Linked DNA regions of Macaca mulatta. The protein of the gene in region 2 purifies or fractionates together with the protein of the main gene of each other region. This does not show direct contact. Links are inferred from orthologs where the notes say so. Each region holds a gene or a part of one and is shown on either strand. Other genes may lie near its edges.

Evidence for each region.
Region 1: the proteins of centrin-2 (region 2) and USP44 purify together in Homo sapiens (affinity purification with mass spectrometry; 4 studies listed by BioGRID and IntAct, counting the BioPlex papers as one, with this or other methods). This does not show direct contact. The link is inferred for Macaca mulatta from reciprocal best matches to the Homo sapiens genes CETN2 and USP44.
Region 3: the proteins of centrin-2 (region 2) and USP49 purify together in Homo sapiens (affinity purification with mass spectrometry; 3 studies listed by BioGRID and IntAct, with this or other methods). This does not show direct contact. The link is inferred for Macaca mulatta from reciprocal best matches to the Homo sapiens genes CETN2 and USP49.

Annotation. Positions count from the first base shown.
Region 1 is NC_133416.1:102,884,632-102,888,931, forward strand, and holds the start of USP44 (ubiquitin carboxyl-terminal hydrolase 44), read right to left. Parts: upstream 2,818-4,300; 5' UTR 2,688-2,817; intron 1-2,687.
Region 2 is NC_133426.1:159,105,933-159,110,182, reverse strand, and holds the start of centrin-2, read left to right. Parts: upstream 1-1,377; 5' UTR 1,378-1,401; coding exon 1,402-1,404; exon of another isoform or gene 1,405-1,770; intron 1,771-2,352; coding exon 2,353-2,511; intron 2,512-2,833; coding exon 2,834-2,962; intron 2,963-3,432; coding exon 3,433-3,570; intron 3,571-4,159; coding exon 4,160-4,249; 3' UTR 4,250-4,250. UniProt on the Homo sapiens protein: Plays a fundamental role in microtubule organizing center structure and function. Required for centriole duplication and correct spindle formation. Has a role in regulating cytokinesis and genome stability via cooperation with CALM1 and CCP110.
Region 3 is NC_133409.1:140,375,265-140,378,887, reverse strand, and holds part of USP49 (ubiquitin carboxyl-terminal hydrolase 49), read right to left. Parts: intron 3,057-3,623; coding exon 2,948-3,056; intron 2,059-2,947; coding exon 1,853-2,058; coding exon of another isoform or gene 1,755-1,852; exon of another isoform or gene 1,572-1,754; intron 1-1,571. UniProt on the Homo sapiens protein: Deubiquitinase that plays a role in several cellular processes including transcriptional regulation, cell cycle progression or innate immunity.

The DNA.
Region 1 (4,300 bases), on a different chromosome or scaffold from region 2:
TTCTGTCTCCAGGTTATTTGAATTTCTCACCCCCATCCCTACTTAACAAGTAATTTTGTTCCAAAACATTTCTCATCGTGTCACATCAACATATTTACACGTCAATCTACTGCAGCTAACTTTGTAACAATGAGAGAAACATTCAGAGTAATACTGAGTATCCTACCATGGGTCTGAAAAATTGAATTCAAATACTCTGTCCGTAAAATGCCTAGACTATGTCATTCTAGCACATCTATGAGCTGATCTAGCAAGTATATTGTTAGACTACAAATTACCTTTTTCCTATGACGTGTAAAACTCCATCAAAAATGAATTCTTCCTAATAAACTTTTTTATGGTGTCTAAAATTGCTGTGAATATCAGTTACAACTTTTACAACGATCTTTTAGCCATAAGGCCATTATTTGTAGAATCCTTCTGTATTTCAGTTATTTGTCACCTATTTAGGCTGGGCCTAATAGCAAAACTGTCCCCCGTTACCAGAGAATTATTCGGGCACACGATTTATTGCCTATCTTGATTAGACTCCTGAGCCCCTGCCCCAGCCTCTGGCTAATCTCCCTGGACCAGACAACTCCATTAGAACCTGGCACCCACGTTTGTTCTGCCTAACACTGCAGGAAGGACAGAGACTTCGAAGCACGTGTTTTGTTTTTTTGTTTTTTTTGGCTACCAAGAAGCCAAATTTCTGTATCCTCTACCATTCAAAACCCCAATTCAGCAAATTTACACAGCGGTTTTTCCTCCACGTTAAGCAGTTAGTCAGCTACTAAAGATACACATATAAAACACAGCCTCTGCCCTCAACCCAATGAGCAGAAAAATTCTCTATGCACAACCAAAACGCTGTAATAGTAAGATTCAAGTGTGTAGAGGAGAAGTTTGGTAGAGTGTATATGACACTTTCTTTTTTTGTAGTAAAGATAAATCTGTAGAAAAGGGAGAAAGACAACTGGCTAGAAAATTTATTTCAAATATCTAACCCAAATCTTCAACAGATTCTACATTTTAAATATTCCAAAAGGTGTACCATTGTATAGTATACTAAATGCGGGTTCATTCATCACTTAAAATTTTTTAAGCTAAAAAAATCTCAAACAATTAACATTTGGGAAGAAAAACACGAAGTAGTCAAAATATTTCAACTTTCTAAACTGTATGCACTGGACTAACTGTTCAATATTAGAATATCTCTACATTTGAATTTGGATAGTCCACAGTGATAACTACTGGACTGAAAAATCTGACATCGAACATATGCAAAACTAATGGCTAGTGTGAAAAAAGCTAGAATGGGGAGAGAAAACTTGAATGTGCCAAAACATTTAAACGCTCTTTAAAATATCCCAAGATGCTAAATTAAGGACAAAACGATTAGAGTTCCAAGAATACAAACTTTCATCTCTTTCAAGGCAACTGAATATTGAATCTCATTGAGATTATGAAATATTCTATAAGCATGTGCTTAACTCCTATTTGGCTTTCCGAATTTCACCACAGTGAACAGCCCATTCTTTTTCCTTGTTTACACCAAATGCTCGTGGTGAACACAACTCAAAATGGAATCCCAGGCCCCAAAAGTCACCAGCCCTACTTCACCCCCACAGGCAGCTACTTAACAGATAATAAAAAATTCAAGTGCAGGACCTGAAGGTCTTATTTCCATGCAAATTTCACAATCCCCGTTACTTGCCCAGATACAATTAAGGCTTAAAAGGTGGCGGGAGTGGGGGACTTGGGGACTGGTCTGAGGAGAAAGTGAACCTCCCAAGGTTCCTAAATGGTTTTGCTTGCAGTATAAAAAATGCGAGAAATTATCCAGCTATCAGTAGAATTTAACAACAGCTCAAACTTGCATTTGAAACAATTACTATATTTCACTTTCTTTTTTCATGGGGGCGGGGAATAGTGTCTTACCTACTCTTAAATTTGAACGTATTAACAGGTTCCCCTCCGCCCACACTGACATATTTCTTATCCCCCATAATGAATTCAGCCATATGGCATTCTTTCCCATCTAAGGCCATCGGGAATGGCTTTAGGAAGCTGATTTTCAAGCACTGGGATCTTTAAGCGGCAGCAGGTGCCGGCAGCGCGGGGACCGATCGATGGAGACGAGACGGGCAAGACGCCGGTAAACCGAGCGCCACAACCGCCCTCCCGAAGCGCCCTGGGGCTTCGAGCATCCCCTCGCGGTAATCCGGGCAGCGGGAAGGATGCGGCTGGACCCGGGCAGTGCGTGCTCCACACAGCACCCAGCCCGCGCCAGCCTCTCCGCGACGCTCGTGCCGGGGTCAGCGCGAAGCCCCTCCGCGTCCTCGAAGCCCTCGCCCGCGCCGGTTCTCTCCCAGCTCGCCCGCTCCAGCCCGCTGCCCCTGGCCGCCGCATCTCCGGGCACTCGTGAGGCGGCCGCCGGGACGGGGCCGAGCACCGCAGAACCCACTGAAACTTCCCAGGGGGCCACTTCAAAATTCGCCGGACCCGTCGCCGCCGCGCGCCCCTCGGCTCGCTCCCCTCCGCGCGCCCGCAGCCCCCGTCTCTCCCTCCCTCAGGACCCCAGCGCCTTGCGCGGCGGGAATACTCCCCCAGGTGCCTCCCGGCCCGGGGGCTGCCGTCGCATGTCCGCTCCCGCAGGGGTCCTCACTCCGCCAGTCGCCGCGGCCCGCGCCCTCGCTCACACTCACCAGCCCGAGCCGGGGCGGCCATCTTAGCGCTCACCCCGGCCCCCCGCCCCCCGGTTCGGCGGCCGCGGCGACCCGGTCCGGCGGCTACGACAGCAGTGACGCGCGGCAGGCCCCGCCCCTCCCACAGCCCCGCCCCCGGGCCGGCTCTGCACGGGCAGGGAGAACCTGCCGGCGGCCGCCTTCCGCGCCTCGTGGGGGGGGGGGTCGGGACCACAGACGGTCCCCAGCGCCGCACGTGGGTCTGCGCCGACAACAAGCACTGCTTCCCCGGGCGGGCTTCGCACCTGTCGTGCCGTCGGAACCCGGGAGGGTAAACCCTGAGTGTCCTGTGTGCCTATGAGCCGCAGAATCATCCACGGACGTCGTTAGTCCTTCCCGGAATTTCTGCGATTTACACAACGTCGAATTGTTTGGCAGAAACGCGTGGCAAATTCCGTTATCTTTAAAACCTTCCCCAATTTACTGGCATAGAAATTCTTACAGAAAACGTTTCCCTCTTGAAGCGACCCCTGGGTGTAACTTCAGTGGGGATGACGGCTGTGAATTGGGTTTCCTTGCACAGCAGAAGGGCGAGAGAGGTTCCAGAATGGATACAGGAGGGGCACCGCTATCCAGAACTGCCTAAGCCGAAATTGCCCGTTTAAATAATGAAGTAGATATCTAAAAGGAAAAGGAGGGGACATCTGGAAAACAGGAACTAGTCAAGGCTAAGGTACCTGAAAATTAACCCATTTATATTTATTGGATTCTTTGTGTTCAACTCTGAGCCAGATTTTTGTTTTTAACTGAACCTATACTCAATGACGAGCCAGTTCTACTTTGGCCACCCTGTGGAGTATACTGAAAATTTAAAAACTCTTCAAGGAGAGCTTAGAAAGAAGACAAACATGCAGAGTTAACAATACATCAGTGCAGTGCAAAATCTTCAATATGTAAGACAAGCTATAAAATTGTTCCTATCTTTTCATCATCAATTTTATTCTGGGGAGTATGTTTCAGTGGTATGACCTGAATAAAGAAATGAGTGCACAAAGGTATTCACAGCATATTATCCAAACACTGGAAAAGGCAAGAAGGAGCGGGGCAGGATTCTAACAGGAAATGGCTAATTAAGATCCGACATAGAGGCCAGGCGCAGTGGCTCACGCCTGTAATCCCAGCACTTTGGGAGGCTGAGGCGGGTGGATCACCTGAGGTCTGGAGTTCGAGACCAGCCTGGCCAACATAGTGAAACCCTGTCTCTACTAAAACTACAAAAATTATCTGGGCGTGGTGGCGGGCGCATGTAATCCCAGCTACTCGGTAGACTGAGGCAGGAGAATCGCTTGAACCCAGGAGGCGGAGTTTGTGGTGAGCCGAGATCCGCCATTGCACTCAAGCCTGGGCAACAAGAGCGAAACTCCGTCTCAAAAAAAAAAAAAAATTCTGATATAGTTACACAGGAAGTTCTTATGTTAACAATATAGATAACAAAATAGCAACAATGTCTAATCAATTCGTGTTTGAAAAATACCAAATATGTACATGAAGGTTACAACTGCATAAAATGTAGTCATGCAAATAAAGATTAAAGGGATGAATTTGCATAGTTTAATACTCATTTCGTTCTTTTT
Region 2 (4,250 bases):
GGTTCAACCACAAAGCCAGTGTTCTGGGGCTGAGAGAAGAGTTGTGGAGTGATGGGAGGGGACACGTCGTGCCAAGCTTTGGAGACCATGATGAGAACTCTGGCTCGTACTACTTGGGGGGATGATGATGACCCAAAAATTAGGAGTCTGTTCACTGCTGAAGAGGGCAAAGGGCAGAAGCTCCATTTAAAAGGTTCTAATAAGCCTCAGGCCTTTCTCTGCCTGAAAAACTTACTTTCTGCCCTCTACTTCCCTAGATTACTGCCCCAGTGCCTGGAGGAAAATCAGGTGAAGGCTAAAAGCCACGTAGACAGCTAAAGAGGGCAAACTGGACCTCCAGCTCCACTTCTGCAGGTCTGTCTCAGTCCACACAGCCCTTGCACACGCTCCCTTTTAATTCTCCAAGCATACCTCTCACTTCCAAAACTCCTGTGACTCTGCTGATGAGGGCGTCTCGGCCTGGAATGCTCCTCCTTATCTGCACTGTGTGGGTGTCAAAAAGAGTATATTTTGATGACCTCTCCCCGCCCCTCTTGCTTGCTCACATCCCCTTCACTCCTTTCAAAGTCCGTTCCCAAAGCCCCCAGTTCACCGTCCTGGGCTGTTTTTAGCCAGGTAAGACCTGAAGTGATCCTCTCTTGGAACCTGGTCTGGGGCCTACACATCTGGGTCAGTCTGGGGGTGCTCTCGAAGGGCCACCCTCAAAGAGCGAGCCTCGGCTGGATTCAGTTCCTAGGTCCCAGCCGTCCGACCTCTGCCACAACGCTCAGCAGACCCCTTCCCCTCTCCGGGTCTCAGTTGCCCCGTGAGTACAGTCCCTGCTCCAACACGCAAGGTCAATCGTCTCTGGCTGCTCTGATGCACTCGGTCCCTAACTCAGCCTTAGGTCAGCACAGAAAGCACCCGACCCGGGCGGCCCCGCAGCTCCTCACCCTCCCGCCCCGCCCAGTCGCTGACACAGGGTGGCCTCCAAGGGCAAGGCCACGACTCTTACCCGTCCGCAGGTGCCCCACTGGCTGGCCTCAGCTCGCAAGCAGGCTGCACCCACCGAACTCCAGCCCCGGAACGCCACCCTTTACTCCCCTCCCGCGTGAGCCGAGAATCAGCCGAGCTTCTTCTACCAAGAGGATTGGCCCAGCTCGGCGTCGGCTCAGCCAATTGGCGCTCACGGCTTGATCTTGCCCAATAAAGACAGGTCTCTGTCCCCAGCGTGCCCCTCCCCGCGCTGGGCCTGGGCTTTGCCAGGTTAGTCCCACCCTCTTCGGCCCTGCACCAGTAGGGAGCGGCGGCGGCGAGCGGACGCCCAATGGGGAGCGGGGCTGTGCGCGCGGGGCGGTGGGAGCGGCGCCGAATCAGTGTACACGTCGGTTGCCTAACAACCGGCCGTGGACTCCTTTGGCTATGGTGAGTGCTGCCGCTCTGTCGCGCCCCACGCCCAGAGGCTGAGCCCTTCCCAGGCCCCAGCTCGGCCACGCCGCCTCTCCTGCGCCTTTCTCGGCTTTGACGCACCAGTCCTTCCTTTGAGCTCTTTCCCGGAAGAGTAGGGTACAGACGCTAACCAACCTACTGGGCCTGCGCTTTGCTGCTGCCTCCCCTTCACCCACAACAGGCCCACACCCGCCCCTCGGGCTCCCCTGGCCTTCCCTGATCACCTCGGTGAACCTCCCTGGGCAAAAAAGACTCGAATCCCTCACAGGCCCCTGACTTTCTCAGACCTTGGCCCCCTGGCCGCCTCATTCTGCCAAAATTTCCACACAGAGCTGGGAGAAGGTGTATTGTGTTCTATTAAAGTGTTTTTTACAATTTAAATATAGGGGCATTCAGGGGATGCTGTAGCTTCTTGGAGAAGGCACGAAGGTGTCAGATGGATTGAGTTTTATTACTCGATACTGACACAATATACATCTTAACAACTTGCTAATATTTGGCCAAATCTAGAAGTAATTGGGAAGTCAGAGTGCTTACTGGGAAGCGGAGTACTGGGAGTGGGCATTGTAAGGCAGTTTCCAGAACCAGGATCCCCACATTCGGGAAGAGCTGATTATCTCTACTTATTCGCAGTCATTTTCTTGACTAGCTCTCTTTTGGGATGATTTTCAGTAAGAGGTATCCTTACTGAACAAGTGATCTCCCTGCTTCTAGAAACGACAGTAAAGAAAAGGGAGGGATAGAAGTTCATGGAAAGATTCATTGTTCTTGCCAGTAAACCCTGTTATCTTTCTTGTTAAGCAAAGCTTTGGAATTGGTTGCCATAAAATTATTTAAAACTACATATGGGTGTCTGTAACTATGTTATGTAAATATGGACTGTACGATATATTATTGTGCTTGTGTATTGCATAACGTATGAAGGCCTCCAACTTTAAGAAGACAAACATGGCATCAAGTTCCCAGAGAAAAAGAATGAGTCCTAAGCCTGAGCTTACTGAAGAGCAGAAGCAGGAGATCCGGGAAGCTTTTGATCTTTTCGATGCGGATGGAACTGGCACCATAGATGTTAAAGAACTTAAGGCAAGCTCTATGCATTCCTGCCGTACTGCCCTTCCTTTCCTCTGCCTCTTCCTTGTCATCTCCCTATCACCTCTCTACCCCTTTTGCCCTCTTCTCCCTGCAATAAGTAACAGGGGAGGTTGTACTGTGCTCTGTTTTCCTGTCTTTACTTAGAGTATTATTAAATAAAATTGATTGCAAATGTCAATTAGATCAATGTTATAGTGTTCCCCAATCATATTAACATGACCACATCAGATGCTGGCTTAATGCTCTCAACACTGTTGTTTTTGCTGCTGCTAGTTCAGATGTGCTTATTGAGACAATCCTGTTTTCATTATAGGTGGCAATGAGGGCCCTGGGCTTTGAACCTAAGAAAGAAGAAATTAAGAAAATGATAAGTGAAATTGACAAAGAAGGGACAGGAAAAATGAACTTTGGTGACTTTTTAACTGTGATGACCCAGAAAATGGTGAGTAGCTAAGACAATTTGCATGGTATGGCGCCCCAGTCATCTGCAGAGGCCCATGGCATCTGCCTGTTAAAACAGTCATGTGACCACAGAGCAGTCCAGGTAGCAGCTGCATCAGGAGGCCTGCCCTCCCATCATGTTACCTTGGGCTCCCAAAACAAGCCCTTGTACTTCTTTCTCAAGACTTCCAAGCAGATACCTCTTCCCACAGAATTCTAAACCAGTTAGGAAATAGATATGGGATAGGGAGAGATATAGGGATAGGGAGCAAACGTCACCTTGGATGGAGTGCCTGGCTTGACTGGTGTTTCTCTGAGGCCAAAATGGGCTTCCTGACACTTGCTGCAAGTCTAGACTCGAGTTACATTGTTAAAAAGGAAAGGGTGACCTGACCGGGCAGTGGCAGGGCTACAGGACATGAGTAACCATGGTGTCCCCCTACTCATGTGTTTCATGTTCTATTTGGTAAGTCTGAGAAAGATACCAAAGAAGAAATCCTGAAAGCTTTCAAGCTCTTTGATGATGATGAAACTGGGAAGATTTCGTTCAAAAATCTGAAACGCGTGGCCAAGGAGTTGGGTGAGAACCTGACTGATGAGGAGCTGCAGGTTTGTAATGCATCACACTGGAACTTAAGATTCCCACCTTTGGGCCCTCTGTGACTTTTCTGTTACATTTTCCCTAGTGTGAGCACTTCTTTGAAGGAAAGCCAGTGTACTTTGTCCCTCTGTGGACAACTGAATTCTCCTTTAATAGTCAGACAAACCTATGAACGCTGCTTCCAGAAAAATGCACATAGGCACAGTTTTGCCTACTATTTTACATTCCAGGAATCCCTCTAGTCAAGGTAATCTTCAAGCTCCCTCCCAGGTGATAATGTTTGACAAAGTATGAGTTGGTTTTCAAATAAGTTTTCAGGAACCAAGCTATTATCAGGAGTGGCATACTGGCATTGGGTGGACTACAATTATCTATTCACATAGTGTTATTAAAAGTCTATTGCTTGCCAGGCACAGTGGCTCATGCATGTAATCCCAGTACTTTAGGAGGCTGAGGCAGGAGGATCGCTTGGGGCCAATAATTTGAGAGTAGTGTGGGCAGCATAGAGACCCCGTCTCTAAAAAGAGTCATATTACTTAGTCACCTTTTGGCATTAGTTTATAAATTAATCTAACCTGAATCTTTACTGTCATATAGGAAATGATTGATGAAGCTGATCGAGATGGAGATGGAGAGGTCAGTGAGCAAGAGTTCCTGCGCATCATGAAAAAGACCAGCCTCTATTAAG
Region 3 (3,623 bases), on a different chromosome or scaffold from region 2:
TTATTGGTGGGGGAAGGGACAAGTAAATGAAACCGACAGACCTCTGTGTATCCACTGGCTTTAACCCCACCAAACCCCACAGTACCGCTTATCAACTGACTGCAATTTTTTTTTTTTTTTTTTTTGAGATGGAGTCTTGCTCTGTCGCCCAGGCTGGAGTGCAGTGGCGGGATCTCGGCTCACTGCAAGCTCCACCTCTCGGGTTCACGCCATTCTCCTGCCTCAGCCTCCCGAGTAGCTGGGACTACAGGCGCCCGCCACCACACCTGGCTAATTTTTTGTATTTTTAGTAGAGACGGGTTTCACCATGTTAGTCAAGATGGTCTCGATTTCCTGACCTCGTGATCCGCCCACCTCGGCCTCCCAAAGTGCTGGGATTACAGGCATGAGTCACCACGCCTGGCCGACTGACTGCAATTTTTATCTTTGTTTTCTTCAGGCTTTTTTATTGTCCACTAGAGCCTTCTAGAAAGATAGCTGCAATACTGCAGGCTAAGCAATGGGGAGATGAGGAGGAAGATGAGGAGGAAGGGGAGGAGGAGAGGAGAAATGGAAATAGAGGGGAGTGATAAAGGAAAATTTAGAAGGAACAAAAGTATTTATTCACAGGCTCTGGCTGCCCCAAGGGCTGTGCAGTTCAAGAACAGTGAACAGCTGAAAACACATCTGCAGCCCATCAGTCAGTGCAGTAGCTGGAAGACTCCACTCTGGAGGATGAGGACCTAAAGCACCTTTGGAGGGGCCCTTGCATCCCCACACTTCCCATGGCGGGGGAAGTAGTAAGAACATAGTAAGTGCTCAGTAAATGTTCTCAGCTTTATAAGCTGCGGCTAGTGAGATTTATACAGTATCTCCTTGAGGTTACACAGGTTCTACTGTTTCTGCATAACCAAGAAGGAAACTGGGGTGTGCAGAAGTAGCATTACCACAACAATAGTAATATTATCAATAACCAATATTTTTGATAATACTACAATATCCTCAAACAGTGACTGAATAAGCACTATGTGCTAGGCAACTGCTCTTTTTATTTATTTATTTGAGTCAGGATCTCACTCTCTTGCCCAGGCTAGAATGCAGTGGTGAAATCACAGCTCATTGCAACTTCAAACTCCTGGGCTCGAGCAATTCTCCCACCTCAGCCTCCCAAGTAGCTAGGACCACAGGTGCACACCATTACGCCTGGGTAAGTTTTTACTATGTTGCCCAGGCTAGTCTTGAACCCTTGGCCTCAAGCAATCCTCCCGCCTCTGCCTCCCAAAGTGTTGGAATTACAGGCGTGAGCCATTGCACAGGGCCTAGGTCCTGTTCTAAGCACTTTTACATGTCAGTTCCTTTTAATTCTTAGAACAACCATACGTTGTTACTTAGTAATATACCCAAAATTTGAATCCAACTTTCATAATTCTTTTTTTCTTTTTGAGATAAGAGTCTTGCTCTGTCACCCAGGCTGAAGTGCAGTGGCATAATCTTGGCTCACTGCAACCTCTGCCTCCCAGGTTCAAGCGATTCTCCTGCCTCAGCCTCCTGAGTACCTGGGATTACCAGTGCCCGCCACCACTCCCGGCTAATTTTTGTACTGTTTTAATAGAGACAGGGTTTAACCATGTTGGCCAGGCTGGTCTCAAACTCCTGACCCCAGGTGATCCACCCACCTCAGCCTCCCAAAGTGCTGGGATTACATGTGTGAGCCACGGCGCCTGACCCAACTTTCACAATTCTTGCCATTGGATTTTCATGTATGTAATTTCCCTCTAGGTAATCCATGGGATGGAAATAAAAGGAAAACAATAAAATGTGGACAAATAACCCCTTTCCGTGTCCCCCACCCCACAGAGTAAAGCGCACGCACCTCCCTCTGTGTTGTAGCAATAGGCTGTGTAGTGTCCTGAGCCAAACCCTTTCCCGTGATGCATGACCACTGCGGAGAGATCATAGGCAAAGGTCTCTTTGTCAAGAGAGGAGAGCATGTCCCTGCAGCAGTAAGGTTCCATGGTTAATACCTGGTCAAAGACGACATGGACCCCAATCTTCTCTCGATGGTTACGGCCAGACCACCTAGAACATGGATATAAGCTTGTTACTAGTAAAAACCGGCATATACAATTGTAGGTAGAGGTAGGTATTAATAAAACAGGGAACTGAGAAAATTAAACCTTCTGGTTTTGGTCTTCCCATCAATAAAATGGTGGTAATCAATGTTCACATTTATTTATTTATTTATTTATTTATTTACAGACAGGGTCTCACTCTGTTGCCCAGGCTGCAGTGCAGTGGTGTGATCAATAAAGGCTCACTGCAGCCTCAACCTTCCCAGGCTCAGGTGATCCTCCCACCTCAGCCTCCCAAGTAGGTGGGACTATAGGTGCACACCACCACGCCTGGCTAATTTTTGTATTTTTTGTAGAGACAAGGTTTTACCATGTTGCCCAGGCTGGTCTTGAACTCCTGAGCTCAAGCAGTCTGCCTACCTTGGCGTCCCAAAGTGCTAGGGTTACAGTCATGAGCCACTGCGCCTGGCCCATTTATTTGCTGTGAATGTTCCATGAAGTACTCTAAACCTAGAGATCCCTAAACAAGCAATTCAAGCAACAGTCTTTTTGTAGTTTCCTGCCTGCCCTTCTTTTCCAGATTATTTTATATTTCATCCTGAAGATGAACCTCTACATAAGTCCAAGCCAGGCTAGAAAATCTTTAAGCACAGATACCCAGTGCAGGCTGGATAATTAATTACACAGGCGCATGACAGCAAAAGCCCAGTCCTGCTGGGCTCCCACATTAATTTGCCTTAGTGGATGTGAATGATTTAATCTCCATGGAAAACACAAGGTCTCAAGTGAACAGGCTTCCCCTCCCAACACCATAGAAGACATTTGCCCTCACCAAAGCCTTTGGAGCAGCTATTCCCACAGCTCTCACCCAGCTAGGACTCCCACAGCAAGCTCACCTGAATCTTTTAAGGTGCAGCCGGAGAACCTGAGGTAGTCTGTAGATCATTAACTGCTTTCTAGCTTCACTCAGAACAAGGGGTTTGGGATTGGATTTTCGTCGTTTGCCTATGTGGTTTGGGAAGGTATAAGACATAGGTTGTGAAGAGTTTTTTCTAGCTATGGCAGAGACAGTGACTTGCCATTCAATATGCATTCTCCATATTTCTAAGTACCTGAACCTCAATTTTTTGGGGAGTGCAATGTGACCCCCTTTATGACTGCATTTCCCGGCTTCACAAGCCTGCATGGTGTGGCCATGGAAGTTCTGGCTAAGATGAAAGGAATGACTGTATGGGACTCTGCTTATACAAGGCTGACTCACTTGTAAGGTGCATCCCTTTGGCCTTCCCACTATCTGAAACTACTGGAATTCCTCCTGGACCAAAAGGTAACTTTGAAGACAGAAGTCTTGCAACAGGATAGTAAAACAGAAAGACAGAAATAGCTTGGGTCAATGATGACCATGCAGCCACCATGCTGGCCCTGAATGTCCTTCAGACTTGTTTTATGTAACAGAAAAATAATACCTCTCATTTTAAGTCACTGTTATTTGGGTCGACTGTTACAAGCAACTCAAATCTTTCCAATTTTTGCCATCAGGAACTTTGCGTATAATGGAATATAATGGAACGT